Linked DNA regions of Styela clava. The protein of the gene in region 1 purifies or fractionates together with the protein of each later gene. This does not show direct contact. Links are inferred from orthologs where the notes say so. Each region holds a gene or a part of one and is shown in the gene's direction. Other genes may lie near its edges.

Region 1 (10,746 bases):
ACTAGATATTTTAAATTAAAACCCTAAGAAGCTGCCCCTTTGTTCTTTCTAACAAATATTTTTCAATGGTAGGTATAGGCAAACATATAGCCTTTTTGATTTTTTAGTTGACTACCTAATAAAATAATTGTCTTTGTAAGTCTGTAAGGTTTTCATTTACTCGTATGTTGTTTGAGCAAGTTAGATTTTCTACTGTAAATTTCATCTCTTTTGCTCTGTCGACAAAACCTGACTATGATACCTGAGTTTTTATCTTTTGGTCCAAGCCGGCGTGTAGCAGATATGTCTTTATCCTTCAATTGAACATTAATCATTCTAGTGACTATCTGACTATATCAAACACATTTTCTATTTGCTTGTAGCCATGTATTTCCAGATTCAGTCTTCGATCATATTGCTCAAGCTCATTCTGTTTTGAATTTTGTTTTTTGCTCTCTTCTTTCAGTTTGTTTATAGGCTATATCTCTGAAGACCAGCAATCATTTTGTTTTATTCTTCTACCTTTGCCTCCAAATCATTAACTGCATTATTGGTCTCAGTTTGTTCATTCCTCACGAAGGTTTGGTTATCTTTCAAGTCACTAATGTCTGATTTGATATTTTTGTATGCCACACTTATTTTTTCAACCCTATCATTCAGCATATTTTGTTTTTCAATGAGTGAGCTTATTGCCTTACTGTTCTCATCAGCATTTTTTTCAATTTTCGAATTCTGTTCAGCAAATTGATTTTTTATCATTCTTCTATTTCTTCTTTCATAATTGTTATGATCTTTGTTTGTTATAGTGCCCCAGAGCTATCTTGATTGCCAGCATCAATATGCATGGGATGGTCACTGAGGGTATCATGCAAAATACCGGCACTAAAAGTGGTGTCACTGCTTTGAAATACATCATCTTTATCAGTAGGCCTATGTTTTTTTTTCCATATTGAAATCAATAATCCGATCAGTTCAGTATATCACTTTTCATTCGAACCAGAAGTAAACAAATTTATGGTCTTAATCAAATAGCGAATGACATGTAGGCCTACCGGTACATAGCCAATACCGACGATATATGGCCATATTGATCACAGTATCATCACGAGTACCGGTACAAACCAAACTATGCCAAAATGTCCTACTGGCTGACTGGTATAGCGGTAATTTTTATTCATTTATTTATTTGACACAGTTCGACTTTTTTTTGTTATTATTTCCTTGTTAGACTTGCTTATGGGTGCCGCTGCTCGATAACCAAATTTGGTTTCTCGCGGCTCCCCTCACCCTGAAATGCCTTTTATTTATTTATTGCAATTTGTATATAAAGTGTGCATTTAGTATGGTGAGAAAATAAACTACTGATTACTGATTATTATATTTTTGTTTACTACTGGTATGTGTTTATCTTACGCTTGTCGCGTTTTTCTTACTTTATAATATCTCTGTCGGTGTATGTGGGTGCGTGTGTGTGTGGATGAGTCTAATATTTTTTGGTGAATGAGCACGCACCGTAGAATACCACTTATTTTTGGCAAAACCTTCCATCTTATTCTGTAGGCTACGTTTTAAACCTTTTCTAAGGTTTTGTTTGCTCCCCCGATTTCATAGTCAGTTTTTATTTTCTTGTTTTTATCAATCATTATATTGTCTGTTATGCTGATTATGGAGTCGAAATATACTTATACTTAAGTCCACAAGTATTTGTATATTATTGTTTTTAAAGAACTCCCAAAGCGACTGAAAATCAAACCGTGTTACCCGTTTAGGGCTACCAACCGTCCCAGAATTTAACGACAACAAAGGCTTTCTAAAATAGGAGACCATTGTAAGTGTGCCGGCTACAAAACTGGAAACGGGTGTAATTCACGCAAATATATTTTTCCATAAAAACGATTACATCTGTATGGTTCATTCAAATGGGAGTGAGTTAAAATTTGTGGATAAGACATGTTTTGTCAACTTTGACCTCCTGATGAAATAACACTAAAATAGGCTATTTTGAGAGGATCAAACACTCAATCTGGTGAGATTTGTTAAAAAATTTAATGTTTAATTTGCTAAAATTTAATTTAGCCGTCTGTTTTAGGACACCTTGCTGACAGCTCTTGTCTTAGCGAGAGTTCATTATTATTATATTTCCGTAAGGATTACAAATTTTAACATAAACTTTGTGAAAACCAAAGTGACTAACTAACAAAAATCTTCTTAACCCCGGGGGGCCCTGACAATGATAGAGTTGAAGGAAAAATCTGATATTTGGGATTCGTAGTCCATTTGACCATGTTGAACAAAAATTTATCCCATTTTGACCTTTGACCTCATTTAACCCCACTTTGAAAATGTGGCATATGTGTTACAACGGAACTTACACTGTATACAAGTGTGAAAAATTTAGTCGAAACAAGTTGAAGTCTCACATTTTTATTCCAACATTGAACGAACGAACTCAAAGAGCAATATCGGCGAATCATTTGCGCATAAAGCAAGCATGAAATAAAAACTGCAGAAACGATTCCCTGAGAATATAACTAATTGTTCCAATTCCTCAGGCGTGGAAAGTCAAAAACAATTGCGGCCCTCGACAAAACAAAGTTTCACTTTACACTTTGAACAGCTGGTATTTGTTTGATTGCGTTCACACAATTTGCATCTTCCCCTTTTCTCAATTTTCATTGGCCAGTGTGCGTATTTGTCTCGTCGGATATCTTCACATGGGGCCTTGGATATTTTCCTTGCGGGGCTGCGAATTTCTTCAACTTCAGACGAGGGTCTCCCGCGACGGGTGTCATTATTGACATAGATCAAAGCGCTTGCGACTGCTGCTTGAAAATGTCGCCGTTTCATAATATATGACGTTGGAAGATGGAGCAGGGCACAATCACGACGGTACCAGATCTATGCATTCACAATAGCCACCATTATAAAATGTCAAAAGAGATAAAGATACCATCTTTTTGATTTCATTCGAAACCTGTACTTTGCAAGAAATGAATCCAAATTATCAATACCTCCCATAAACTTATTGTATTCTTGCACGATAGCAGGCATGGCTATGTGCACATGCTGTTTCGTTCGTCTGTCCCATCGTCTGATGTTGCATCGGGCCTATCGAATTGTTTCTTTCTCCACCGAAACTGATTGCCGTCGGTTGCATTATTTATTTGGCTTTTGTTTTTGATTTTGCACTCGTAGACTCGTCAAGGGAACATCGTCGTCAGAACTTTCGGACTCAACCTGTAAAATGAAATATCACGAAATGCAAACAAAGAAAAACGTTATTTATTGTTTCGATCAATGAGTGAGAAAGTTATTTTTCAGAAAATATTTTCGGTGTCTGTTGATCGTAAGCAGTTGTGTAATGCTTCTTTAGGAAAAAAAACTACAATATTATGAAAATATTATGAACCTGGGAGCCGTTGTTTTTGTCTTCTCTGATATCGTATTCACTATCTGATCCACTACTAGTGCCTCCACATCATTGTCGTCACAGTTCAAAATGACAAGAATATCATTAGCATTGTACACTCTTGCAATTTCAGTTCACCGCGAGCTGCTTGACCCAATCGATGCCATGTTCTAGAAAAAAGTATAGATACGGTTAGTGACCTGACCAAGCAAGAAAAAGGGCAGTTTAAGGCTATAATGTGAATGCGTGCAATTATTGTGTCACCGGTGTCACATGCAGATTCGGCGCGGCGGTGTGGCTCAACGGGCTAAGCGTTAGGAATACGCTCGCCACCGCACCTCTAATTACTCTGCGTGGGTTCGAATCCCATGCAGGGATGGTTATGAGCGAGAGGATTGCTGGACTCCTCGCCGTCGTTGGGTGGTTCACGTAACCGCTGGTCGGTTACGGCTTCCTCCACCACCAAGTCCATGCTTCCGTAAAACAATATAACTAATCCCATACCCGAATTGGAATGGTAACCGGACGAGAGGCCGTGGTTCGCCATATGAATAAGCCGTCTTATCGGCTTTCTTCTCCCCCGGGATAAATATGTAAAATCCTATCCGATTCTATTTACTCCAATTGTATAACTAGTCCCGATGTGACAACTGTGATGCATCAAATGTAGACCATCGTATGTCGGGTCAGTATTCACTCTAGATTCTCATCGTATGTCGGGTCAGTATTCACTCTAGATTCTCAATTCATACAACATAGTAATCTATATCAAAGTAACTAAGAAGCCAACTCACCATTTATTCACTCTAGATTCTCATCGTATGTCGGGTCAGTATTCACTCTAGATTCTCAATTCATACAACATAGTAATCTATATCAAAGTAACTAAGAAGCCAACTCACCATTTATTTGACACCAATCGGTGTTCTTCATTTATGACCGATGTTTCCAGGCTTCTCAGGATCTTGTCGAAAATACCACACACCATGATAAACAATCTTCTGGAGCGCCACCTAACCGGCCGATCGGTGCACAAAAGCTGTGCTATTGAGTAACATTTGGCCCTAGTATTGAGGTGTATATATACAGATTTTTTTGCATTTATGCGTTTGAGGTGTATATATACACCTCAATGGACCTTTCCCCGACCTTTGACCCCCGGAAAATTCTTCCTATACTTCACCATTGCAAAATTTTCGGGGCTATTTCAAGAGTGCTTTTGCGAGTTGGCGCCTGTGAAATGGGTTATGTGTTTCAAACCATCATTATGATTCATAGCATACAACAATCTGTTTTTTTTTAAAAGTACCGTTAAAGAATTTTAGCCTAGTCTATCACAGCTATTTCTACACTAATTTTTATTACTGCTATTAAATTAAAACTCCTAGGAAGACAGGGTGACCATTGAATTATCTGATTTACATTTAAGTTTCCAAAACACAACTGAAAACTAACGAATAGAGTTCAAAAATGCGAAAACGAGGTAATGTTTACGACCACGCTTGAAAATCTGTCTGAGTGAGAAAAGTGTCTGAGCGGATGCGGAAGGGGGGCATTGTTACGTCGCTTTTTGCAATTTGCTGATTGGCCAATGTCACGAAGTAAACAAGGAAGTCGATGCTCGGGGAAAGGTCCATGGGCCTTAGGGGTCGAAACATTTTATTTCTACAGGTTCCAAAAGATCGTGCAGCAGGGGTGTTACGTGGGTTCCCTAGGGTTGAAGCGGCAAAATCACAATAAAAATACGAGTTTAAATACCAGAAAGACTGGATTTTGTTGTGATTTTTGTTAAATAATTAATCTGCTTAGCACAAATTGTACAACTCCCCTTTTTAGATTTTTTTGCATTTATGCGTCAAAGAGTCAACATTTCACATATGATAAAATTATTTACAGTTTGTGAAAATAAGCTGCACGGCACGCAGCGCGTACCGTACTGTTGCTCTTTACGTGCTTCGTGTTTCACAAGCTTCTGTTGCATTAAGTATTAGTACCGGTATTCAATTAAGGTTGCATCAATTTTCAAATTCTAGAATCTAGACATTCCGGTTCAACATAAAGTTGGCAACCCTATACCGATACGGTACCTTACGGTCCATAAAGTCCGTGGGTTGAGACAGGCAAACAAATTATCCAGTTACCGTATCTACCGATATGCAGATACACAGATACCGTATGGCAACAACTTTTATGAAATCACATTTCCATTCATTCAAGTTGCGTTTTATACCGGTACCGGTAGATGTAACCGGATACATAATACCGTGCATGTTTTTATTATGTTGAACAAGGCCTTTTACGTATTAATTCAACGTATTAATTTGTTGGCAGTTGATTTCTTTTTGCCTGTTTTCAGGCCTTCTGGCCTTGGAATGTCACATTGCAGCATTGCTGTATTGGGACACTTTTAAAATGAATCAGGTGAATTTCATATTATTCTATTAAATACAGGACATTTAATCATATTTAGGATTGGTTGATCATGAAACGAATAAAAAATCTAATTGATCAAGTTGGTATTTCTTCTCCTGGTGCAAAACAGAAAGATGATGAAATTCATCCTCATACGGTAGAAAGAACAACTGTACTTCCCTCAAGAATTTTAAGCAATCCAACATTTCAAGCAGAAACCATTCAATCCATTGATGATGCTGTATTTAATCCAGACACGGATGGCAATATTATTGACGTCAAGAGACTCCCAGACCATCCTACACAAGAGTTGATTCATGAAATGTGTGAAAAGCTGCACAATCAATTGAGTGCAGTTTCTAAAAAACTTTCAGATGTTATTCTTGAAAATCAGCCTGCTTATCGGAAAGAACTACAGCGAGTACGGGATTTACAGAAAGATCTTCAAATAGGATTTTCTACTTGCTGTGCCGGCAAAAAACACTTGCTATCTGTCACAAGTTTTGTTAATTTGAGACTTCTTGTTCATGTTCAACATAGAAAAAATTTAATAGCTTTGCATGATGCATTGAACACAATAAAAACTCTGGAACATACAGATGTTAGGCTGAGAGAGCTGATGGAAGAAGAGAACTACCCAGAAGCAATACAGCTGTGTTTAGAATGCCAGAAGGTTGCTGTCGCCTATGGACAATATAATTGCATTAAAGACTTATCTTCTAAATTACAAGATACAATTGAACAAATTGAAGAACAAATAGATGTTGCCCTTTCGAAAATGTGCAACCATTTTGATTCTGAAATGTATGAAAAACTTCAAGTTGGTTACAAGCTTCTTGGTAAAAGGCAAACAGCCGTTGACCAATTGCTTATGCATTTCACTACTTGCATACATAATATTGCATTTCAAACTCTTCTTGGTTATGTACAACTATGTACAAAGGAACCAGATGCTAATCTTCAAAAGAAACAATTCAATGATCTTTGTTCCATTGTTGATTCATCGTTTTATATACCATGTTTGCTTGCATTATGTAAAGCATTGTGGACTATAATGTATTGTTATCATAAAGTCTCACTTTGGCATAGTGAGGAATTTTCGGAATTTGATGATACTAAGATTTCTGATGAAGAGATTGATAATAAGTATATTACACGTAAGCTTGAGCATGGACGTCATAGAATATGGTTGGATGTCCAATCCAGAATAAAAAGTCTACTTCTTGGTATTGATCTGTCCAGTTTTAAATATGATGAATTTATAAAAGTTGTTGGAATTGTCAATAAATTCATATTGGTCGGTGCAACTTTTTGTGGAAGTGGTGACAACCCTGAGAAAGACAATTTTGGTTCAACCTTACATGAACCAATATACCAACAAAGTTTGCGTTACTTCCGAGCTTATCATAAAAAGTCGTTAGAGGAAATGCACATGTTTCTTGACAATGAAGCTTGGGAAGCTTGCCCAATACAAAAGAACTTTTCTGTGATGCAATTGCCAGAGTTCAAGTTCTTGCATGAGGCAAACTACAAAGATATCATAAAGTCCTCAGGAACGAAACATTCAGAAAAATCTAGCAAAAATATGTTTTTTAATTATAATGATAATAAAAGACATCCATTTGAAGAATTTGCTGGAAAATCAGATGACAAAACAAATGTTAATGGCAAAACACATTCTCATAGCATAGATGACAATGAAATGGATGATGAACTATTATTTGATTATATTGAGGAAGATGTTGATGATGACGATGTCATCAGTCACAAAGAAAACAAAGTAGTTGGACCGCTTTTAACTAACACTGCTCTTAATACCTTAAGAACTTGTGGCAAATATCTTAGAATGTGTGATGTTCTCAAGCCGATTGCCACTGATGTTATAATATGCATGTCACACTTATTCGATTACTACCTAATCTCTATTTATGATGTGTTTGCCGCTCATGAACCTGGCATACCTGGATGCAGCAAAAAACTATATACCACTTTGAGTCGAATAAAGAGTGAATTAATTAGAAAAGAATTTGATGCAGAAGAAAAAAATACAACCACAAAAGTACCCCTTCCATCTCTTTCTCCTATTGTGAATCTCAAGCAGAGGTCAACAATGTTTGGTCTCCCTCATAGAATAACAGCTACAGAATCACTTATGAACTTAGCTGCTCAATTTCAATATTTACAACCTACTTTAAGAAAAGTCATACCATCAAGTCAAGAAGCATTTCTTCAACAATTTTATGCCCAGACTGTAAGTACTTGCGCCGAAGTGCGATCACTGGTTTATTTTACTGTTGGGGCCGGATCAATTGATTATAATTCTATTTTGAGTGGAATGGCCGAAGTTAAATGGGATCTAAAAGAAATAATGTCACAACATAGCAAATATGTTGATGCCTTGTTACATCATTTCAAATTATTGAAGTCTGGATTCACCTCAGCTGCGAATGACATGCCATTTCCGGATGAAATAGAAAAGATAATTTGGCAACATTGCATTGGTATGTCGGGCAAAACTTTTGTTGAGGGTTTCTCTAATGTTAAGAAGTGCAGCAATGAAGGACGAGCATTGATGCAATTGGACTTCCAGCAGTTTCTACTTAAAGCTGAAGAAATCACAGGAGTTCGACCTGCACCAGGTAAAGAGTTTGTCGAAAATTATATCAAGGCATATTATCTTACTGCTAAAGATTTAGACGAATGGATGAAAGATCATTCGGAATATTCAGAAAAACAGTTATCCGCATTAACCAGCTGTAGTGCATCATCTACAGTTGGGAATGCTAACAGAAAAAATAAGCAAAGAATGCGTGCAATGATTGATGATCTCACAAAAAGAAAATGATTATTTACACCAGATTTTTTGAGAATGTGGACGATGAAAATATGACAGCAAGTGCTGTTGGCATGTTGTGCTCGGAAAAAGAAACAATTCAACTGAATGGATCAAAATTGAAAACTAAACTACTTCTGTTAATACAGTTATGTGTAGAAAGGAGTCTATTTAATAGTTTGCTGAGTTTGTCCCAATGAAAAGGGAGATGACTTAACCAGATGGCAAACCACAGTTTTTCGCCCTGTTGCTAGTGGATACAGGAATAGTTGACAAGTTACTCTTTCATGTGTATGGTCTTGATATTAGATGAAGGTGTTCTGACCGGTGGCCTCATGAACCCTATGAGATTTATGGACCCAGCATATATCTTACACATGATTGTTCCCCATGATGGTATACCAAGGATTTCATTTGTTGTTATTTAGTATCGCTAGTGCCCGGGATTCGAACTCTCATAGTGTAAGTTGGCAAGCATGATTATAGAGCTTAGCCCTATCTGTCAACAATGAAGGGTATTTTGCAATATATCTACTATACTACTACCTTCACATGTCTTAATTATCTATTAGCATTGCACTGTCACAAGGTATTTTTCATCAAGCTGTTTCAAAATGGGTCAATAGTTTTATGTTAATTTCGTTCAATGTTTCAAAATATGTGTAATGCTATTATTTTATTATATTATTATATAATATATTATCCTATTTAGCATCAACTGTGAATCAATATTAATTTTCAAATTTTATCATCTAAGGAATGGATAAACTGAAAAAATAGACCTGAAAATATTACGACCCAGGTTTTTCACGTTCAGGTACAAGAATGATAGGCGATATTGAACTAGTGTTGGGAAATAACGTAGCCCAATGTCTCAGATGAATGGATGTGTGTGGCGGACGAAGCATCAATCAACAAGCTTGAGTGCTTGTGACCACAGTTCAGCGATCCTTTTAAGTCACATCAATATCGGTTATCTGATTTGAGAATGTTTTAAATCGATTGTGGCATTTGATTGTTTGGGTTCTTGCACTTAAAAGTGACTGCGCATGATCTTGCTTAGAGTGAATTTCTATGTAATATGTCCTCTTTTAAAGTATGGTTTTAAGCTGTAATATTTTTTATTCCTTCATCAGCCAGAAAACAGTAATCTTGACGAGATCCACGATTTTCAAAAGAGGCGGGGTTTTAAAAATAGGCAATTCCTAAACACATGGAACAATTCGCGAACAGTCACCACGATTATGCCACTCGTTAAAAGAGAATTTTTCAGCTGATAATTAATTTTCTGATGCGCCAAATAATTAATTCACGACTGATACGAGGAAAAGTGGAGTCCCGGTCCCGACAGTAATTTAGGAATGGTTAAGATTAAGAAGGTGCATCGCGCGCAGAATTAAATGTTTCTTCTTCAGTGACTAAGGTACATTTCGCAATTTACCATGTCCAACATACCCATTTTTTTTTTATCTATCGCCGGGCTACTAAAACCAATTCATGGCGATTTTTGTTTTATTTTTAGTATATTGTAACGTCGTTTTTTCAGTCTCAGTATTCACTCCCTTATTTTCAGGCTGATTCACTCCTTCAATTGCCTTTAGCGACCTGCCGTCGAATTTCAGGAAAAGTTTCCCATTCTAAGAAAAATGGCAATGTATTTTGCGCAGGTAATAGGGATAACCTATATTGTGATTCTTTCTATTCAAAATTGAAAATGGTCGAATTGGAGCTGGCCCAATAACGAAAATGTAACTAATCAATTGCCTTGTACGCTATCAAGAAAAGAAAAAAAAACAGTCAATATTAAAAAGTTGGTAAATGACAGGGTTCGCACTAGCTGGAGAAATTAACTTCTATGCTGTTTTTATCTTATTACTGCTCGAACCACTCATCATTCTACTCATTCGTCATATTTCACAAAAGTAGTATATGCCGTAATTCCTGGTTTGTGATATATATATATGTTATTTAATGTGCGGTTTAAGGTCGCGGCAAGAATAAAATAGTTTGCGGCCTCATGGCTGCATTTGAGTACACGGCTCCACTTGGAGTCCTGATTATATATATTTGTAATTGAACGTGGGAATACATTAGGCTAGGCCGCTATACAGGG
Region 2 (10,417 bases), on another chromosome or scaffold:
AAAAACTAGATTACAATCGGAGACCGCCGACTTATCGATGCATGTTCTCTCCGCTCTGACTCAATAGCGACACCGCGTGTCTCATCACCAATTAATTGATACCTCGCTAATTATACGACATAATTCATCCAAAATCAATAGGCTTCTGGTCCGAGTGTGATGAGTGCACATGCACAATTTGGGGCAGATTCAATCTCGCTTTCGTGAGATACGTGTGACCAATGACATTAAACAACATGATAGGCAACTCTGACGTCACTCCATAAGACTACAGGCAAAACATTGTATTTCATGATACGCTCCAATGCACATATTTCTCGTCGCCTTTCGCGTCCGTTTTCCGCTCGCTTTTGCTACTCGGCGTCTTTTTTACGTGTAGTACCTGCCTTTTTGCGCCTGTAACGAAACAAAATAATCTCTATATCTAAGAAGTTTTGCTTCCTTGGAAAGTTGGAATAACAGGCAAGCTGTAAAGAGCAATTCTGGACATCATAGACGTTTTTTTCTATCAGAGAAGATTACAAACGCGATAGCGGAAAGATTTGTGTGGAACATTTTGCAGATAATGACAAAGTTCAAAGTTAGTAATTTTAATGTTTGCGCTTAATCATTGAAATTTCATTTAAAGAGGGTGTCATACAAAACTGTGCTGCGATACAATTCCATAACACAAAGTTTGCACCTATCGAACTTGCTTTCGTAGGTGAATTTATTAGACATATTACATATTCAGTTAATCGTAGGTAACATTGCTGGTACATAATGCATCGTAGATAGGTTTGTTTAAATTTAAGAATTTAGCTCATAGCCCACTAATTAATATTATCTTCTATGCAGGAGGTTGCAGGGCTGAATTCAACTTGCAGCCTTACCGATCACCTGACGATGCTCATTTAGTTTGGCTCGAGCAAGTCTTCTTGAAATGCTTGTGTGGATAGAAACTACCTATATTTTTTGACTTCCTCCGATTTTAGACAAATTTATTCTGAGGGATTTCGCATATAATTCTCACTGATTGTTGGCTGTTTATAATTCCTATTGATTGTGAATTCTGATTATAACAATGAGTTGAAAATTTTTTTACCTAATTTACTGGCACCTTTTTCTTGTCAATACTCCAAGCTGAGGTAATAAACATGACAATACATTTATGTCATCTGGAAGCAAAATATGCTCACTAATTAATAGTTTGGCACATTGAGATAATACATCATGACAGAAAATACAAGTTAAAGATATGTATGACCATCACATGGTAATTAAAATTTAAAAAAATTAATAGGGGCTGTGGAGTATGGAAAGTTCAAGACAAAGAAAAGAACAAATGTTCATAGTTCATGAACTCTCAATTTTGCCTCCATTGCTTTGTGAAGGCCAATATATTTCGAGTGGCTGAATTGGTTTACCTTTATGATAGCAACGATTTTGTATTTAATATAGCGAGATTATTTCAATTTAATTGAAGTGATATAATTTCCCAAAGCAATGCTTGAATCGTCTAGAATAGATCAGTGGTGTCAAACTCATGGGTTTTCGAGAGCCGCATTGCATTTTGAAAATTGTAAAAAGAGCCGCAAACAGTTTTTGATAATGTATACTTAAAAGATATTTTTAAGATAGTTTTAGTTTGTGACATATATTGTGATGCAACTAAACAGTTGGATTAAGTTTTATTATTTTCTTCAATTTCAAATGCAATTACATATTAATATTTGCATTCCACTATTATTGCAACATTTGCAAGTTACAGTATTTATTATAAAAAATCGTAAAATTCTATGTACAACCATCAAAATCATTTTTGAACAAGCTTTGAATAAGGAAAGAATAATACATACACTAAAAATAACTTATCTAAATATATGAACCTAAAATTAACAAAAATACTACAGTATAAACTCAATGTTTTAATAATTACATTTGTCCTGGCGTTTGGCATTTTTTTGTGTCACCAGCATACTAAGGCCAGTCTGAAATGATTTTATAGTACCAACTCTAACTAACGAGGCCACATGATCATGGGTTTATCTGAATCTTTACGAATGTTTAATTAATTCCAGTAATGCAAAAAAGTTACTTTTATCATTTCATGTATAGATCAGTAAAAAAACAAATGACAGATTTTTTCGACAAGACATTTCGCACTACATTGCGTGGCATAGGATTGCTTGAATTATTATTGATATTGATTTTTAGTAACTAAGTCGTTGTATAATTATATTAATATACAAACACATGGAAATTTTCTGTTCGAAGTTGGTCTTCGAATTTGTCATATTGACTGCTGAGCTTATTGTGTTTTTTGATTGTATTGATGGAAATATGACAAATTAAACAATGTGCTTCAGAATTTTGTGAAGAGCAGAAATGTTACAACTCCCATTTTCTTCGAAAATGCCACCTTCTTCATGTACTTTGCGTTTAATTTAATTACTCAAGTGTTTTATTCAAGTATTCTTTTGCTAGCTTGATGTGTATTCTTAATTGGGTCAAAATGTGGACAAAAAAAATCAATATTTCAAAACTACTTTCAGTAAATTGTTTTCTGTGTGAATAATCAATTTCACTTTAGAAGGTTTGAAAAATCTATTACATTTAGATAAAAATAAAAACTTCCAAAATACTATTACAATTACTGTTAAGCGTTCGAGGGCCGCACTGGAAGTTCTCTGGGACCGCGAGTTTGAGATCCCTGGTATAGATTGAAGTTGTTCAAAAAATATATGATAGTATTTTATCATGAATGATGATTATACCCCTTCCGGAATTTCTTCTATAGTACTACCAAAAGTTGATGAACCAAATATAACACAGGTGCAGTGAGGTACCCGTAATCCTCATTTCCAAAGCTGTTTTAAGTATGTCTGGCGTGTTTTGTGCCTTTTTACAAATAAGACCGCTTATGCAATCTTACGCTTTGGAATTTTTAGTTATTTTCCTCAAGCCCTGCAGGATGTGGGGGCCATACACAACTCTACCGGAGGGTCAAATGTCTTTGCATGCCTCCATAGGTTGTTTTTCTATTGCAATTTTCTATTTTCAATTGCATTATATTTCTCGGAATCACACTGTCACTGATATGTCGCCAGACTTCTGATATCTCCCCGTCTGCTATAGTTGTCCTGTGAATAAATAATAGGAAATTGAGATTGGACGAATAGTTGAAAGTTTTGCTTTATGTCGGCTTAATTTCTTGATTGATATACTTGCTATTTCTGCTATTGGCTCTTGTGCTGCAAGATTCTCGCAATGCTTAGACAGGTTTGTCCACAACTTTCACATCTGAAGAAAGAGAGGAGATTTATTAATTTTCGTTAAGAATAAATAAAGCAGTCTATATGATTCAGAATGGAAAAGCTAATAAATCCAATATCTCATGTTTTATTTAAAAAATATTTTACTGAATTTGGTATATAATCAATCAATCAATCATCATTTATTCGTCAACACAATTTAAACATGGTATGATATATAAAAAAATAATTACAAATATAAGTGGAAACTAACTTAAATTGTGTGACAGGAGTCGCGAGGGACCTCAAGAGGTCTTCAGGCAGCGACACCTAAAACGCTTGTTGATTCAGGTTAATAGCTTAAAAAGTTAATGAAACACCAAAACATTTCAAAATAAATATTTTGAAGAAAAAAAGAACATTTTCAAAAAACAAAAAATACCAAATATCCATCATAAGTATTTAAAATAAAAAAAAACCTAACATCCTGGTTACGAGCATGTTTTTTTATTATTTAAATCAGTGACCAAATTCATAAAAGATGAAATGCACCGTAGAATTAAACGGTTGCACGAAAAGACATAAAATATGTTATATATCGATGTGGAGTAAAAAAAAAATATAACGATTAACTATAATTCCCTTTAGACTGAATCTTTCAGTATCCCCTGACATGATGCACGCAAGGTCTTTAACCAAAATTTGGTTTTCAAAAATTACGACTCCACGCACATCTGATTCGTTCGCAAACCAACTAATAAAAGGGCTTAGTCAGAAAATTACAAGCATTCGTGGCTCCAAATACTTGAGAAATCAGACTATACAATATAGACCGGTATGAGTGAAATGTTAGGTGAACTTGTTAACACTTTGATTCAATACGCAAATAAAAGTGAATGCGTAATAGTATGTTACAATGAGCAGCAATCAACAATGAGTATATATCCTCACTGATTAAAAAAATCTAACTGGAGGTGCATGAACTATTTGAAACCATAAGGGGTAAGTAAATATGTAATTTCGGCAAATGGGCAACTACGTACCGTACTGAATTAATAACTTCGTAGTATTTGACAAAGGCTGGCTTTCCCACATGTACTTAACAGTGCGATGCCCGGGTGTGATATACAACAATAGTATTCACCTTACCTTTTACCGATTTCTTTTTACCCCAACTTTCAAAAATATCATTAAAATCGACAACAACTGTCAAAGCAGGCACGAACACCATTCGTGCTACGCCTTGAAAGCAGCACACATCCGCTCGTTTTCGTCTCGTCAAGTATGTGCATTGGAGCGTGCTATCGAATACGATCTTCGGACAAAAATGCCGGAGTTGCGCATCATGTTGTTTAATGTCATTGGTGTGACATAAGAAATTGTCCAACAGTCACCCAAACAGGCAAATACCTATCACCATACTTACCGACTGAGATCGTTTACGTAAAGCATAAGTTTATTTCGACTCCATAATCAGCAATAGGCGATAATAATAGATAAAAATAAAAGTAACTGATTATATAATCGGGAAAGCGAACAAAACCTCGAGTAAGGTTTGAAACGTACAGATTTTAGATGGAAAGGTATTGATAAAAAAAGTAGTACGTGTTCGCTCACTCAAAAGTAAAAAAAAACTAATTAGGGCACGCACGCACACACACACACACACACATACACACAACCATCGAGACATGATACTGTCGGAAGATAAAAAAAAAGCGAGACTCAAAATCAATTAAATTACTCAGTAAAAGGAAAATATACAAACAAATGAGAAAAAAAAATGAATAAATTCTTTTGCCACACCAAATTAATATTTTTATGAGGATTGCCAAATTGGATACCGAATTAGAATGTACTGTGGATAGAAAAGTATTCCTCCAAAAATATCGTCAAGCTGATTATAATTGGAGTCACCTAATGCCAAATTGCCCAATCAGAATTGCCAAGTTGGCTTTCTATCTAAAAACGGAACCCAGTCTATTTAGGACATATTGCATGAGTTCAATTGCATTTTGGCTCATCCTGTACGTATATGTATTACCCAGTCAGCTTCATAATCCTTGAGTTTCTGTGCAGTCAGAGTTGTATTTTCAAATCCATTAAATCTGGAGTCTAAATTCGAATTTGTTGCAATCAGAATTTTAGACTTTCAGTGATGGTAAAAAAAACTCAAAACCGTCTACAAAACTCACAACCCGGACTCAAGAGTCAATTTTTTTAATCCGTAATCGGAGTCACATTTTTTTTTATCTCGTGGGCGAAAAGTGATTATAGTCACTGTGGGTGTGGGTGGGAGTTGATTGCAAAAATTATCCGACTCCACAACTAGATAAAAGATCTCGTCAAATATTTTTTGACCGCATGTGGGCGATAAAGATCATTTTTTAACTTCTGGTTTTGCTGCTCAAAGTCATACACGCTTTTCTGCTGAAAATGACATTTTGTGCTCAATTGGGAGCTTGTTTGCGGCGTATTTTCGGGCTATTGAGTAGTGTTTCGTTATGAGCCAAGAAAAGACCAAAACAACAATTTATAACAACGTTGATATCCACCCTTGTATGCAGGAACAAGAGTTGTCAATATCGTGTATGTCCAATAATAATTACGATCGAGAAACATACAGAGAAAAGTGTGTCGAGTATTTCAGAAATTATAGGGATTGCAAAAGATTTTGGGGATCTGTAAAACTAAAACGAGCTGGGCAAGGTATAAAGCCGCATATGCCCCCTGCAGACGAAAGACAAAATATTGTGGATTACCTTGGAGAAAACTTGCCTTACCAGCTTGCTTCTAAATTCAACACTTCACATTAAAGTAAGACTTCCTTTTTTATCATTTAAAGTTATTGAAATTCAGTAATCAGCAGTTAATTTTCACACCATACTGAAGGCACACTCCATATCAAAATTCTGAAATTGCAATGAATAATGAAAAAGCATAAGACAGTAAGAAAGTATAACAAGAAAATAATAATATAATTGCCTATACGTTGAGCAAAGCACACTTTTCATATTCTAGCATTTAGTTACCAACCTGTGCAAGTATATTAGTTATTACTAATCATACAACTTAGAGATCTTGGGTCTAATGTAGTTTCGTACCTGACATACTTCTAGTGGGCGTAGCATGACAATTTGGGTCTCATGTAGTTTCGTACCTAACATACTTCCAGTGGGCGCAGCATAACAATTTTTCACGTATCAATCATAACCCCCACCTGACTACAGTGACGTAATAGAGCCCTTCAAACTATACGAACTGCCATTTAAGACGCGCAAACGAGCACCTGAAATTGAACAGCTATTTCTCTCCTTTTCTCACCGAAACGATCCCAATGTAAGAGATATTTGGCAATCTCGATGACGCGATTGTGATGCCGTAGTGATGCAATTTTTGGATGGCGTAGTCAGTCTGGGGTTAGGATTGATAGGTGAAAAATTGTTATGCTACGCCCACTAAAAGTAAGTTAGGTACGAAATACCAAGTGCTATAATTATCATTAAACCAAGAAAAAGGTGGAAAGGAGCAGAACGGAGTTCTTTGTGTTTCATGTATTTTTTGGGTTCCCCGCTGCTTTCGCACTGTTTATAGTAAATATTGGTTCAAGAGAGGCAGAAAAATAGGTTCTACCGAAATGAATGTCACAATTCCACAACTACTCAAATAACAGCAAACTTAAATATGATGGAAAAATAAATGTCATAACTTCTTAAATAATGCCGAACAAAAACGAGATGTGAAAATACAGCAAATTTTAATTTTTCAAATAAAAATCTGTCTTGCTCAGATTGCTACCCCATTTGGCATTTTTCAAAAAAAAAAAAATTCCAGTTTACATTTTTGTTTAGCATTATTTCAGTATTCACGATGTTTACATCTTCGGACCAGGAAAAATGTGCATGTAGTCTGGTAGTAGATATAAACTCGTTTATCTAAATTTATTATAGAGAGCAATGGATTTAGATGAAGCTCCAATAATTCACGGACTTGAGCTTCCGTCAAGATGTATTTGCGCACAATCAGCAGACACAAATATCACTCGATTTATGGTGGCAACTCAGTCGTTACGACAAGAAAATCAACTCCATTACGTGGAATTCGATGATGAGAACAATGTCATTGATAAAACCATGTTTTCTCACCCAATTGGTGAAGTATGGCATCTGTCAGCAAGTTTCAACAATCCAGATGTTTTCACAAGCTGTTATCAAGCATTTGAAAATGGAAAATTAATCCATGGATGTATGGTAGGGAAACTACCATTAGATGAGAATCAAAAGCCAATAGTTAATTCAGCCACTACGCAAGACATTACACAAAGTCAACAAGGAACACTAGAAAATCTGGCGACCCTAGATTCAGAGGAGTTTGGAAATATATCTAGTTCGCATTGGAAACCAATAGAAGGGGAAAACTTCCTAATGGCTCTTGCTGGCAGCAAAATGCTTCTCTATGATATGGAGCAAGGCACACCAAAGCTTTCTGACTCGTTCGAGCTTCCAACTAGAAAAGGGCATCCTTGCACTATAACAAGCGGCAGGTGAGTAGTTTTGATCATTACGGATGGGACTTTATTATTTACATGGGGTGATAGAAAACCGACAAGACATTTGGAGAACCACGGCCTCATCTCTGGTCAGTATGTTCCTCAGATTTTTTATTTAGGGTAGGAGGGGAGGGGGGTAAATACTGTTTGTATCTGTTATGTATTTGAACCGGCATATGAGCCACTTTCTGAATATTCAAATACATTTTTATTTAACTTAAGAATTAAAGTATGGTGTCATACCTGTAAATTAGGGGAGGAGTTTGAAAGTTTAGGGGAGATGTAGGGAAATCACTGTGTCTGGTTATCAGTTAATGCCAGGTATGGGAATCATTGTCAAAGAACTAGTTCCAGATGCATGGACATAATGGTGGAGGAAGGTGTTACCGACCAGAGGTTACTTGAACCACCCTATGACAGTAAGCAGTCTAGCAATTCTCTTGCATATAATTATCCCACGCAGGATTTTAAACTGTGAACCTAGGTAATGAGAAGTGAGATTGCAAAGCGTGTTGGAAAACCCAAAAATTGTTATTATTATTAGTGAAAAAGTTGAAAAGTAGTGTCTTTGAGAAATCTAAAACATAACTCATTAGCTTTCACTGGGCACACTACTTTCAAACTTTTTCACTAATCCTGGGGGCTCTTCTTTTACACCAAATTAGGGTATTCCAAAAACGTTGATTGTAGATGTTCCTCTAATTGATTTCAGATACATTTTGTGTTTGGCCCTAATTATGCAAAAAAGATGCTTTTTGATCTAATGATAGTTTGCAGCCATATTCACCAAAGTATTTCAATATAAAGTTAGAGAAGTTTCAAGATCAGAAATATCTCATTTCCCCAGAACAATTTTTTTAGATTGAGCCATTAAATGCTCAGCGGTGTGGCGCATGACTCCTTCCCGCCGCGGGGTGGTTCATGTAGGCCATGGTGTGCCATGTGATTGAGCTCCTTATCAGCTTTCTTCTCCCCCAGGATAAATATGTAAAATTCAATCCCAAATCCAATCCTAATGTGCTTCAATCACTACACTAAAAACGATGCAGAAAAATAACTGATATAAATATCTATCTCTCTTTCAAGATGGAACCCACATCATGGTGGCAAGCAATTTGCAGCGGCCACTGAGCAAAATGTTGTCGGTTGGGACATTCGATCCAAATCTCAAGCTTTCATCATAGAAGGGGCTCATGGACAACTTGTACGAGATGTCGACTTCAATCCGAATAAGATGTATTACGTCGTAACTTGTGGAGATGATTGTCAGGTCAAGTTCTGGGACACAAGGTGGGGCTAATAAGTTATATTTTTTTATATTGTGGGGGGGGGTGGGTGATAGGAAAACACGAAAAATATATCTCAGAATTTAATTATGTGTCGTCATTTTGAGCACCGGTCTCCTGTTATAGAGATGTTCCCGTTTGATTCATGTCGATATGTTTCGATGTCTGGGAACAACACCACAAGCTCTAGATGCAGTAACAATGGTGTGTTCTAAACCACCTTATCCAAAGTAAATGAGTAATCTGTATTAATGACGATCACTTTAAAGACCTTAAGCTCTGTGTTTGCTATATCCTAACACAGAGGTTCCCAAAAAGTGTGCCGCAAAAATTAAATGATTAAATATTTTACATTTTGTATTTATTATAAATGTTATATTGTTGACCTTTTGCCTTTATTGTTCATACACACAAAATTGAGTTTTATTCAAAAAGCAGCAATTTTTTCGTGTAGGTGCTCCATAAGTTTTCCCCTGATACTCTGGCTTTGGCACCTCATGAACGCAAAGTTTGGGAATGGTTGCCATAACAATAGAAAATCAAAAATCTGTTCTCTTTTTCAGAGATCTTTCTGATCCGGTTAAAGTTCTCTCTGATGATCATTCACACTGGGTCTGGTCGACAAGGTACAATCCATTCCATGACCAACTGGTGCTCAGTGGTGGGAGTGACAGCCGGGTTATATTGTATAATATGAAGTAAGTGGACTTTATTTTCCAAGTAGTGTTTTGCAGCTTATTTTTCAAGTTGTGATGAATAAAACTCTGGGCAAGCAGCCCAATATGTATGGGCTAGTACAGTGCTTTCCACCCTTTTTCAGTTTTACTGTTGCTATTTTTTCTGTGCAACCCACAATGAGATGTTAATATATGAGAAAAGAAACAATGTATCCCCATGCAATTTAGTATCAATGCAAAACTAGATCTGCATATTGTAAATCAAGTCTTATAATGACGGTAATTCTAATTGTTACATTGTTTTCTATTTGTTACGTGATGATAGTGCCACAATTTCCCTATCTAATTAAAAACTATATGTACCATTTGGAAATACATCCTGTCCTTGTTCGCATAGTTAACAAAACAAAAACATTAACAAAAATGGACTGACCTCATTCAGGCTTATAATTAATTAGCCACTTAGTCACACCTTGAATTAGGTTATGTGCCTGGGATTTTTAACCGAGATGTGTAACCTTACCATTTTTATTCACTAGGATTCTGCACCCAGAAAACATAGTAAATTTTCAATAGTATGCCATTTTTAATGTAAAATAAATCGTGATTAATGTCAATAAAACAGTTGTATTCAGAATGTTAAGATTTGATTGCAGGATTGAATTATGGGAC
Region 3 (10,991 bases), on another chromosome or scaffold:
TGCGGGTGCTCTATTTGCATGCATCCTAATTCAAAAACACTCTAGAATTGCGAATAATTCACAAGATAATTGCCCGCACTTCTTTTTTACTAATCTTGAATGTGAAATATATACTCAATTCTGCTATTCAAAAACATGGCGTCTTTAAAACCAAATATGATTGATACAAACATTCGTAATATTTTATCACGCAGTGTATATTTTCCAATCCCATAATAATAATATGTTACAGATCATCACATGGGTACCAGTTATATTCTTGAAGAGGAAAAGAAAGTTCGGCCAAACGCTACCATTGACATTTACGCTCATGAATTGACGAAAATACTAATGTTTGAATTTTGTAAGTGTATCTCTTTGACAAAAATCATTAAACAAGTAAAGAAACTCTCAGGTACTCCGTAGGCTACTCGGTACTTCATGCTCGTATCTCCACAAAGGCTGTAGACTGGGCTCAACACTTGTGACAAAGTTTTACTACAAGTGACCAAGTATTGCCCTGGCGATGATGAAATAAACTATAAAAATTAGTGGTAAAAAATAATGAACACAAAAGAGTCAGACACCTTTGTTTGAAACAGAAAATATTTCCACAATTTACTCGAAGCCTCATTGTAATTTTATTTAAAATTTCAGCTGACACATATGACATCGGTATCACACGTGGATTACGGCAACTGGGATCGATAGTGCCTAAAATTCCTAATGCTCGTACCGGTGCTGGACTTGGACCAGAATTACTTGTTGGCGTAGATACAAATCTTATCATTACCGCACCGACAAAAACCTATTCAAATCGAGCTTCCTATAACGTAGCAGGTGAATCACAATTTTACGTCTTTTTCTAACTTATTGAAACAAGTACGTGAATTTCTATGATAATTAAATCTATTACGGCTCAATAAGTAACCAATAACAATTGATCTCAGGTATTGAATTTGAACTTATCCATACACCCGGAGAGACGAAAGATCAGACTACAGTTTGGATACCGAAAATTGGAGCTGTTCTCCCCGGTGATAACATCTACAAAACTTTTCCTAATATCTATGCTATACGTGGAAGTCCTACTCGCGATGCAAAGATTTGGTATACCAGTTTGGATAAAACAAGGGCGCTCGGTGGAAAGTATCTTATCGGCTCTCATACCAGACCTGTGGAGGGAAAGGAAGAAGTCTACGATACATTGTTGATCTACAGAGATGCTATTAAATACATCCACGACCAAACCTTAAGGCTGATAAACAAAGGGTATTTTCCAGATCAAATTGTCGAGAAAGTACAACTTCCAGAAATGGTTAGAAAACATCCAAATTTACAGGAACATTACGGTTCTGTACCATGGTCTATAAGAGGAGTCTTTGCCAGCTACTTAGGATGGTTTAGCGGGAATCCTATTGATTTGCATCCTATGCCGGCGTCCGATCACGCATCCAGAATGGCGCGTTTGGTATCTTACGCCCAGACTCGAAAGGAATCACCTGGAGAAATCATGCTTCAAGAAGCACAGATATCTCACCAAATTTCTCACAACCATTATACCGCTACAGGAAAACATATTCCAAGTGATGACAAATGGGCACTAGAACTAGCAGACGCTGTCATAGAACTCAATACATTGGACAAGAAGATGACGGATGTTGCGAAAACGATCAAGGTCAGTGCGCTCAGAGCAATAGGTGTTGAACAAATCACGGCGACAGGAAGAAACTATTACCTTACATATGCTCTGGAGGTAGAGAATAACCTATCACTCGTGCGTTCGAAGGAAGCACTTGAAATGGGTATCAAAGATTCTTCCGTCAGCCGAGTTCTCGAAATACTTTGCTCTAAAGTTCGAGGTCTCGAATGTCAGTATCAAAACTACACAATAGGACTTTCATTCACAGATATACAGAAAGACTACGTAGTCAGCCTGCGTAACAGCGTATGTGATGTATTCGAACCACCACCAGAAAGTATCGTCCCCCAAGTTCAACTTTCCACCAAATCGAATGTGTACAAAGGGATTGTTGCAGAAGATCTGCAACTAGATAAAGAAATCGAATTAGGAAATGTGAAAATTGACTATGGAACTATCGATACTTACAAGGAGTTTCTGGAATGTTTTGATCCATTAAATTCCGTTTAACTAAATATGACATATTATATACCTATAGTTGCCAGTTTAATTTTTTGACCCCACGCTTCCAAACGAAAATTCATAACGAATTATTGTTTTATTTTTGTCATTTACTGTGTTACCTTAATGATCAAATAACCCTAACCATTCAAACAATATCTTATCAAATTTTAGATTAGTCTTTTCTTCTACCTACAGCGATTTTGAGTATCGAGATTTAATAATAGTCTTGTTATATAAATATAAATGTCCAATGTTGCTGTATCAAACGGGTACAAAAGCGCCAATTGTACACCTGAAACCCCGAGAACCAGATTGGGGATTTCTCAGTTCCACAACATGTATTCAATATCTGTAAAATAACTATAACTGTAAGATTAGTTGCAAGGGAACAGTGATGTCCATCGTAATTCTAGCGAAATATTTGATCCCCGATTCTAGACGCCCATAGCAACAAATAGTTGCTACATAGACGTCAGTGAATATAGGCTGGAGATAGACATCAAGATTATACGTAAGAGTACATTATTTTAACAAGAATAAGTTCCTATAATAAAACTATTCCCATTTTGAAATTACGCTGGTGACTGGCAAAACAGTGAATGCATAAGAACCTGCATCAAACATAGTACATAGAACTTCCCTTTCTGAGAATTCATCTGAGAAGAGACTGTTAATTTGAGAACAGGCAAACAGAAGTCCTTTTTTGCGATCAACGAACATCTCTATATAACGAAACTAATTTCGAGCATAACATACTTCTTACTTGTTTAAATGATGATGGATGTTCAGGATAGTTGTACGAGCGCGGTCTTGCGTACTCCAATTTAGTGTCCCCAAATACACATAATAAACAAGAGAGCATTGCTCAAATATATGGAAAAAAGGGCCAACGCAAAATGCGATCGCGAAACCGCCACAAGGTATGCAATTTTTAATTTTGATGACGTCATCACACAAAACTTCAAAGTTAAAAGGAATCCCATAGAGCCCACAGAAATTTTTGAAATAAATAAAGTAGTAGCCTTCTAGCGACAACAATAATCTTTAACCACCGAAAATTTCAAAACAATGGACCTTTCCCCGAGCATCGACTTCCTTGTTTACTTCGTGACATTAGCCAATCAGCAAGATGCAAAAAGGGCGTAACAATGCACCCTTTTCGCATCCGCTCAGACACTTTTCTCACTCAGACAGATTTTCAAGCGTGGTCGTAAACATTACCTCGTTTTCGCGTTTTTGAACTCTATTCGTTAGTTTTTAGTTGTGTTTCGGAAACTTAAATATAAATCAGATAATTCAATGATCACTCTGTCTTCCTAGGAGTTTTAATTTAATTGCAGTAATAAAAAATTAGTGTAGAAATAGCTGTGATAGACTAGGCTAAAATTCTTCACCGGTACTTTTAAAATACAGATTGTTGTATGCGATGTTGATTGCAATGGTAAAGTATAGAAAGGATTTTTCGGGGGTCAGAGGTTGAGGAAAGGTTCATTGGTCCAGCAGGTAAATGGAAAGGGATTTTTTTACAACAGGTGAAGAAAAACACGGGGAAAAATAATAACAACAAGATGAAGAAGAAAAATACCACGAAAAAACTAAAAAAACTTCGACAAAACGATTTGTAGGTCCATTTCGTGTCCAATAACGTATTTGTAAGTCCGTAGGAAAATAACTGGCTATTTGAAATCGTTAAAATGGATGTCATGGCTTGTTAAATAGGAGTAGCTGGCATCGCGTAGTTCTTGGGGAATAGAAAGATTATTCGGAAAGGAACTGGTATTTTAAGAAATCGACATTTTACATGAGTGGGTAAATCAAAGCATATATATATGAGTCCGAGGCAACACTTGGACAATGGGTGCCATTTTGAATCAATTGTTTTCGGTCATGTATCACAGGCTCTCATGGGAATTTCGCACGCACTCATTGAAACATCCCAATATTTCACCAATTTATATATATATTTTACATTGAAGGATTAAGAAAATCGCGTTTTCAAGGAGGAATATTAGCCGAACACATTGATATCATAAAATGTTTGCCAAAGTACGTGTAGGCCTATAATGCATTTAATTGTCACTAAAGAGTTGCTGGATTGTATCCGAAGTAAGATTTGACCATTCTATGATGTCACAGATGGGAAATGATCTTTATCCGGAGAAACCTCATTTCGATGGCCGTTTCCTTATTCAAGTCGACAGCTTTTGACTGTCAATCGTCAACCAAAAACGTACAACTATTGAGTCCAAAGATGTGCTTGACCAGTAATTCTTAAAGTGGGCGATATCGAGGGGAGTGGCAAAGGGATAAAACAGGTAGCCTACCATCTCCTCTGGGGTGACAAGTTGACAATCAGCTTAATAGGAAGCAAAGCTCTATTTGACACGAAAACGAACTACTTGATCCGTCAAAAGTACTTTCCAGTCTTCTTGAACACTGCTGAAAGTTATAAGTACAAGTGAATACCTTAACCTAATGTTTTCAAAATGTTCGGCGACTCACTGCAATCATTTTCCAGCAGTGACAAATGTTTGCAGTTTTTCGTATAATAATTTTCTGCTTCTTCTCACAATAATTTAAAATGCCATTTTTCATTTTCAAGCTTTGCAGACATTTGCTGGTTCTACCTGACTGGCGTAGCTTCCGTACTCTTTCTCCTGGTATTGCCCCATTTAATAATACAATAATTACGGAAGATTTGTAGAATCAAAACCTTTAAATTACTCAAAATATTACATAGAGAATAACGTATTTTCCCGAAAATAAGACCTAGCCTGAATTTTAAAAATGACTTTAATATAATAATAAGCCCTCTCCTCAAAATAAGACCTGGTCGATAACGCAAAATTTTGACCTAGTCTTTAGCAAGAAATCTCTCCTACACGTTTAAAATGATTAATAAACTATGTTTTACAGTTAATTTGAATAAAACGTGTTATTTGTAAGTAAATGGATATCGGCGCTCATATTTTGTATGTTCGAAAATCTCGTAATTCTCTACTTTGTAATTTGGTTTTTAACAAGAGAGCTATGCTCAAATATATGGACACGTAGAGTCACATAATTTTGATGACGTCTTAGCGAAAAAAAAAGTAATAGCCTTCTAATAGCCTTTATCTTTAACCACTAAAAATTTCAAAGCAATTGGTCCAGTATTCGAAGAGAAAAGCGACTTTTAAAAACGTGTCAAGCGGTACTGAGTTAGCAGTCAGGCAGCATCTTACCTGTACACTGTAGGCCATATACGGTAATTGATCACAGAACAGTTGTTCCCTTGCAAATTTTATGTTGTTTACACTTTAGGACAGATAATTGATCACAGAACAATTCTTCCCTTTCAAATTTTATGTTGTTTCCAGTAGACTCTCATCAAAATAAACAAATATAGTAGGCTACAAGTGCTACAACGCTTGCATTACTGCACTGGTAGGACCGTGAAAGAATAAGTTACGGTAATTTCATTGTGGTAAGACACCGGTACCGGCACCAGTATCGTACTTACGTACTGAGCTACCAGTACCGGTTAGCAGTCAGCCAGCATCTTACCTGTACACTGTAGGCCATATACGGTAATTGATCACAGAACAGTTGTTCCCTTGCAAATTTTATGTTGTTTACACTTTAGGACAGATAATTGATCACAGAACAATTCTTCCCTTTCAAATTTTATGTTGTTTCCAGTAGACTCTCATCAAAATAAACAAATATAGTAGGCTACAAGTGCTACAACGCTTGCATTACTGCACTGGTAGGACCGTGAAAGAATAAGTTACGGTAATTTCATTGTGGTAAGACACTGGTACCGGCACCAGTACCAGTATCGTACTTACGTACTGAGCTACCAGTACCGGTACCGAACCTGCAGGTCTGATATTCCGTTCCGCATACGATAGGCTATAAAACTTGCATTGCAGCATTAGTAATACCGCGGAAGGAATAAGTCAATTTCACTGCGTTACGGTACCTGTGTGGCAACTTACCAGTACCGACCTACAGTAGCTGTACTACTGAGCAAGACAATCGATCGCGAAACCGCTTGAAATAGGTGTAAAACAGTGTTCCCATGAGTAAAAATAAATACCGCGAAATTTTGTATGAAATATCATATCTCATAGGATTCATATAAAATTTAAGAATAAACAAAAGTAATAGCCTTCTAGAGAAAAAATTAATCTTTAACCACTGAAAATTTCAAAGCAATTGGTCCAGTATTCGAAGAGAAAAGCGACTTTTTAAAAACGTGTCAAAGAACAAGAACAACAAGAACAACAACAACATAATATTGAAACGATCGTTATGTCCACTACGTGTCCAATAAATGAAAATATAAGATCGAAAATAAGCCCGTGTGTAGACTCAGAGTCAGGCCCAAATTGTTCGGGGTCAAAGATCAGCTAAATAAGCAGAGTAAATCGCGACACTGGAGTTGCTTGCCAGTCAAATCGGCTAATACCGGTAGTTTTTGTATTGTTTTTGTAATCGATTGGCTGAAAAATATATAGATAGTCAATAGATAAAGTTTAGCAATGGAGGAGACAGACGAAAATCGTCAGACGAGACATGCGCGTAAAAATGATATGCTCAAGATGTATTACAATGTCGATGGTCAAAATCAATCTTCAGTTTCCGATGGACATCTGGATATTGACAGCAACAATTTCAAACCTGAGGATTACCTTCGCAAATTAAAGCAGGTTGAATTTTTTGAAATGATTCAAATTTTACTAGTCAGCTAGCCCAATTCACATTTGACACTATTATGCAGTTATGTTCCTGTATTAAAATGGTAAATTCTTCATGTTCAAACGCGGAATGCTAAATTTTGATACCCATAATACTGTAATTGCTTACATTATAGAACTAGTAGCCTAGTTTTGTTTTTGCCCAGTACAGCAGTAATTGTAGATGTAGTTTTTCTAATTTTGATAAAACTTTAATTGAGGTTTTTATTGTAAGGAAAAAAATTTGGAGCAGCTGATGGATACTGAACATGACATGGCACGTCAGATACGAACATTGGACAGTGAAATGCAAGTATGTTCTGCATGTTTTTTAAACGGAGTTACGGTTTAAAAGTTTAAATACATGCATTATTATCCAATGATACATAAATATCCCCTGGCCTTTACCGTCCCTCCATATTGGTGCAAAAACCACAAAATGTAGCTGCACATTAAACTCAAACGAAGTGGAACTCGAAACTGTCTCGGCAATAAATTTTGTGGGTTAAAGTCTGATTAAACAAAGCAGATAATTAGGAAACTATTGTCGAGCGAATTTCGCTGGCGTCACAGTTGATTTATTAGTATCTCACAAAGATAGTGCCGCCGTATCCAGTGCTACCAAAACGACGCCCCTCGTTTCAGAGCTTGTTTATATATTGCTAAATCTGGTCAGTTTTTTTAAACATTGAAACATGTGTCATACTATATGAAATATGCTATTCAAGAAAATGTAGCAAAATTGAATATATTTGTTTTAACAGACGTTGGTGTATGAGAACTACAATAAGTTCATCAGTGCGACAGATACAATTCGTACAATGAAACGAGATTTTCATAAAATGGAGGATGAAATGGAGAAATTAACTGCAAATGTTTCATCAGTTGCAAAATTAAGTTCTGAAATTAACAGTACAATGCATGTAGGTTCTTGTTGCTTACCGTATCCTATTTCTTATCAACAGTATTTCAAATTTTTTTAAGGCATTTCTAATTCATCCAAAATTTATTAACATTTTTGTATCATTTTCTTCCTAATTTTAAGATCTTTTACGTCCTCAATTGCATTTGATAACTTATTTGTTGCCACCTAGGTATGCATCTCACTTGCTTTACAAGATAATTGCATACCCATTTTGGTATCTTTTTAATTCTCATATAAGTCTGTTCCTAACCCTAACTAAAGTCACTGAGATCTCACAACCTCCGATATCGCATACCAAAGTAGTATTGTTTTTTTACACCTCCGCTTAGAACTACTAAACCATTTTGTCTATATTTTGACACCAGCTAGCTGATCATGGATTTGAGCAGTTTCTGATGACCCTCTCATACTTTCCGTAATTTCACTTTAGGACAATCGACAGAAAATACTGAAGCTATCAGGAGTTCATTCACTACTTAAGAAGCTGCAGTTTCTGTTTGAATTACCATCCAGATTACAAAGGTGCCTTGACATGAAATCATATTCTGCTGCTGTGACATATTACACCAAAACACGATCTGTTCTTAGTCGTTACCAACACATGGAATCATTCAGTGGAATTCAACGTGACTGTACTGAAATTATGAATCAAGTTATCGAAAAATTAAAAGACACTTTCCATAATAAGGTATGCTTTTTCAGTAAGGGCTTCCAATTCCACATAGGTGCTATTCCATTATGTTTTATTATTATGATTGGGTTCTGTCCATTCATAGGGCGCATCCGTCTATAAGAGTGTTCCATTAAAAATACTCTACTTCATATTTTGTGCAGAATTCTACACCTCAGCAATTAGCTCAATGTGTTGGCTTATTATTACGATTAGGAGAACCACCAGCATCCTTATGTGATGATTATCTTCAACACACAAAACGAAAGTTACTGGAAGATTTAGAGGTTTGAATTTTATATATCATTTAATAATGTAAACGTATGTTTCACTCAAAACGATTAAGCGATAATGATATTCAGTTACAGTGATGTGATCAAAAACTGTTTTAGTTTAGAGCATGGATGGTGAACCGTTCTTGCTGAATATATTATATTTTTTAATGGAAATTTTTTCCGCAGATGGTATTGCAGATAGATTTTTGATCTTTACGTATCACAGATAATTTTCTGTACTCAATTTTGTGAAATTAATTTTTGTAAACATTGACCCCCTGAGTACAAAGATCTGGAAACTAGCATTAGCAATGCATCAATAAATAAATATTTTCATGCTTTTAAAATAGTTTGGGAGGGAATTCTACTTTTCATATACTGTTATGAAATTTTCTGCTTGGCTTCCAAGTTCCAACTACAATAAAGTTGCCAATATCCAACCCCATTTTTAATTCAGATTTCTGTGGACAGTTCTGAATCGCCACATGTAGATGAGTTTTCGAGTACGATTCGATCTATATTAGGCTATATATGGTCATGATTAATTAAGATATACAAGGATTTAACTCTAAAAATCTGATCTCAGCTTGACGTTTCGCACCGCCCTCTTGTATCGGACCTCCAGAAGTATGTGCACCAAGATGGCGCACAACCTGAACATAGTATGTGTACCAGGTTAGAATTCAGGTTGTGTGCCATCTTGGTGCACATACTTCTGGAGCGACCTCGTATTTACTATTCTTATGATTCATCAATATTCATTTTGAATTTTTCTCAGGAACTGGAATCATATCTATCATGCAACTTCCTTACATCTCCATCAATTACTAGAAGTTCAACAAAAACTACTATAGTCGCAGAAGATAGCAAAAGTATTGGAAATACCAATGAAGAAACAGATGAACATACTGATGATATAGTTGAACAAGAAAATACCAGGTAAAACTTTAAGCCTTCAAAATTAAATACCCTGTTGACATGTTTTTTGTAGCTCATGAATCCTTATTAGGTTTATAGGCATCTTCACGTTATTTGAGTCTTGAATATATACGGTATACTTTGATGAAATGAGTGTGGTAAAAGACTTAGCCTAACTGTCACAAGTATTTTATTAATGACTCCTGCCTGCTTTGCACCTTTATAAACATGGGCCAATTTGAAAATTCTGTATTTTTTGGATAATTATGCAGACTTAAATATCTGGATTTTGTAACATGCTCAAGCTTACACTGTTGTACGGTGGTATTGTTAGGTCCATGCTAACAACTTTCCAGTCATTTGTATCCTAGCCTATATTGAAAATATGGAGGAAATATTGTTCAAAAAAGATACCAATTAAGTTTTCTTATTGTCTTGGTTTAGGTTGTTGATCGACGTATTAGAATTCATTGATCGAGGCAGTAATGGATTTTTGAGCAATTTGTCGTTAACAATTGCTGCATATGAGAATCTATTTGTTAATCAAACAAAAAACATTCCTGAAACTTTATTTCAAGAAATCGCAGAAAGTTCAAGCATGAGCGAAATTCAGGTGACATTGTTATGGATATTTTCTTGCGGTATTTCTTTCACATCCTCAAATCTGTTTTCTGCAAACTTAAATCTTTCTTTTATGCAACTAGATATATGGGTGACATCAATTTTTATAAAATTCTGCTTTCTTTTTCATATAAGCCCTCATTTTCACTCTTTAAAATATCTTCTGACAATATTTTTTTTCGTCCTATATTTTGACTTAATTTTAGTTCTTGTGTTTAAATTTCGAGCATTTTAGAATTGAGCTTGGCATATTTGGTACTAGTTTATCCAACATTTGTCAAATTTTTGAATATTTTGATTTACATATTTAATTTAATATATATGTTCTTGCTTTTATTTTCCATGGATGACTCTTCATTAAATTTACACATTCACAATATCTTATGCTTTGAGTCTCGACTAAATCTTGTATTAAATGATGTTTTACTGACAGGAGGACATGTCAAGAGTTGCAAGTGACAAATTGACTGTCTTCGTGAATGAACAGTTGAAACACTATTTTACTCTCGTGGAAAAACGATTGGATTTTGAAAAAGAGAGCAGTGATAATGCTCTTTTGGTCAGAGCTTTGGATAGATTCTACCGCAGGTAAGTTTTCAATGCTTTTTTAGTTACTTTGATACTGTCTGGTGACTACCTTACTGTTAGGAATTTACAGTAACAATGGGCGGTGAACATATAATATATCAGAAAAAATGCTCAACTTTGTCTTTATTTTTGTAAGATTGCACATTAC

The links.
Region 2: the proteins of syndetin-like (region 1) and EARP-interacting protein homolog purify together in Homo sapiens (affinity purification with mass spectrometry; 4 studies listed by BioGRID and IntAct, counting the BioPlex papers as one, with this or other methods). This does not show direct contact. The link is inferred for Styela clava from reciprocal best matches to the Homo sapiens genes VPS50 and EIPR1.
Region 3: the proteins of syndetin-like (region 1) and vacuolar protein sorting-associated protein 51 homolog purify together in Homo sapiens (affinity purification with mass spectrometry; 7 studies listed by BioGRID and IntAct, counting the BioPlex papers as one, with this or other methods). This does not show direct contact. The link is inferred for Styela clava from reciprocal best matches to the Homo sapiens genes VPS50 and VPS51.

The regions. Positions count from the first base shown.
Region 1 is NC_135257.1:2,878,066-2,888,811, forward strand, and holds syndetin-like, read left to right. Parts: upstream 1-5,821; 5' UTR 5,822-5,870; coding exon 5,871-8,645; 3' UTR 8,646-9,351; downstream 9,352-10,746.
Region 2 is NC_135254.1:6,140,707-6,151,123, forward strand, and holds the start of EARP-interacting protein homolog, read left to right. Parts: upstream 1-5,910; 5' UTR 5,911-6,050; intron 6,051-7,183; 5' UTR 7,184-7,189; coding exon 7,190-7,776; intron 7,777-8,868; coding exon 8,869-9,072; intron 9,073-9,631; coding exon 9,632-9,766; intron 9,767-10,417. UniProt on the Homo sapiens protein: Acts as a component of endosomal retrieval machinery that is involved in protein transport from early endosomes to either recycling endosomes or the trans-Golgi network.
Region 3 is NC_135251.1:21,117,660-21,128,650, reverse strand, and holds the start of vacuolar protein sorting-associated protein 51 homolog, read left to right. Parts: upstream 1-6,515; 5' UTR 6,516-6,651; coding exon 6,652-6,819; intron 6,820-7,081; coding exon 7,082-7,159; intron 7,160-7,610; coding exon 7,611-7,769; intron 7,770-8,201; coding exon 8,202-8,459; intron 8,460-8,605; coding exon 8,606-8,728; intron 8,729-9,494; coding exon 9,495-9,655; intron 9,656-10,078; coding exon 10,079-10,247; intron 10,248-10,688; coding exon 10,689-10,843; intron 10,844-10,991. Other genes in the region: linear primary-alkylsulfatase-like, read left to right, coding at 233-343, 637-819, 930-2,131. UniProt on the Homo sapiens protein: Acts as a component of the GARP complex that is involved in retrograde transport from early and late endosomes to the trans-Golgi network (TGN).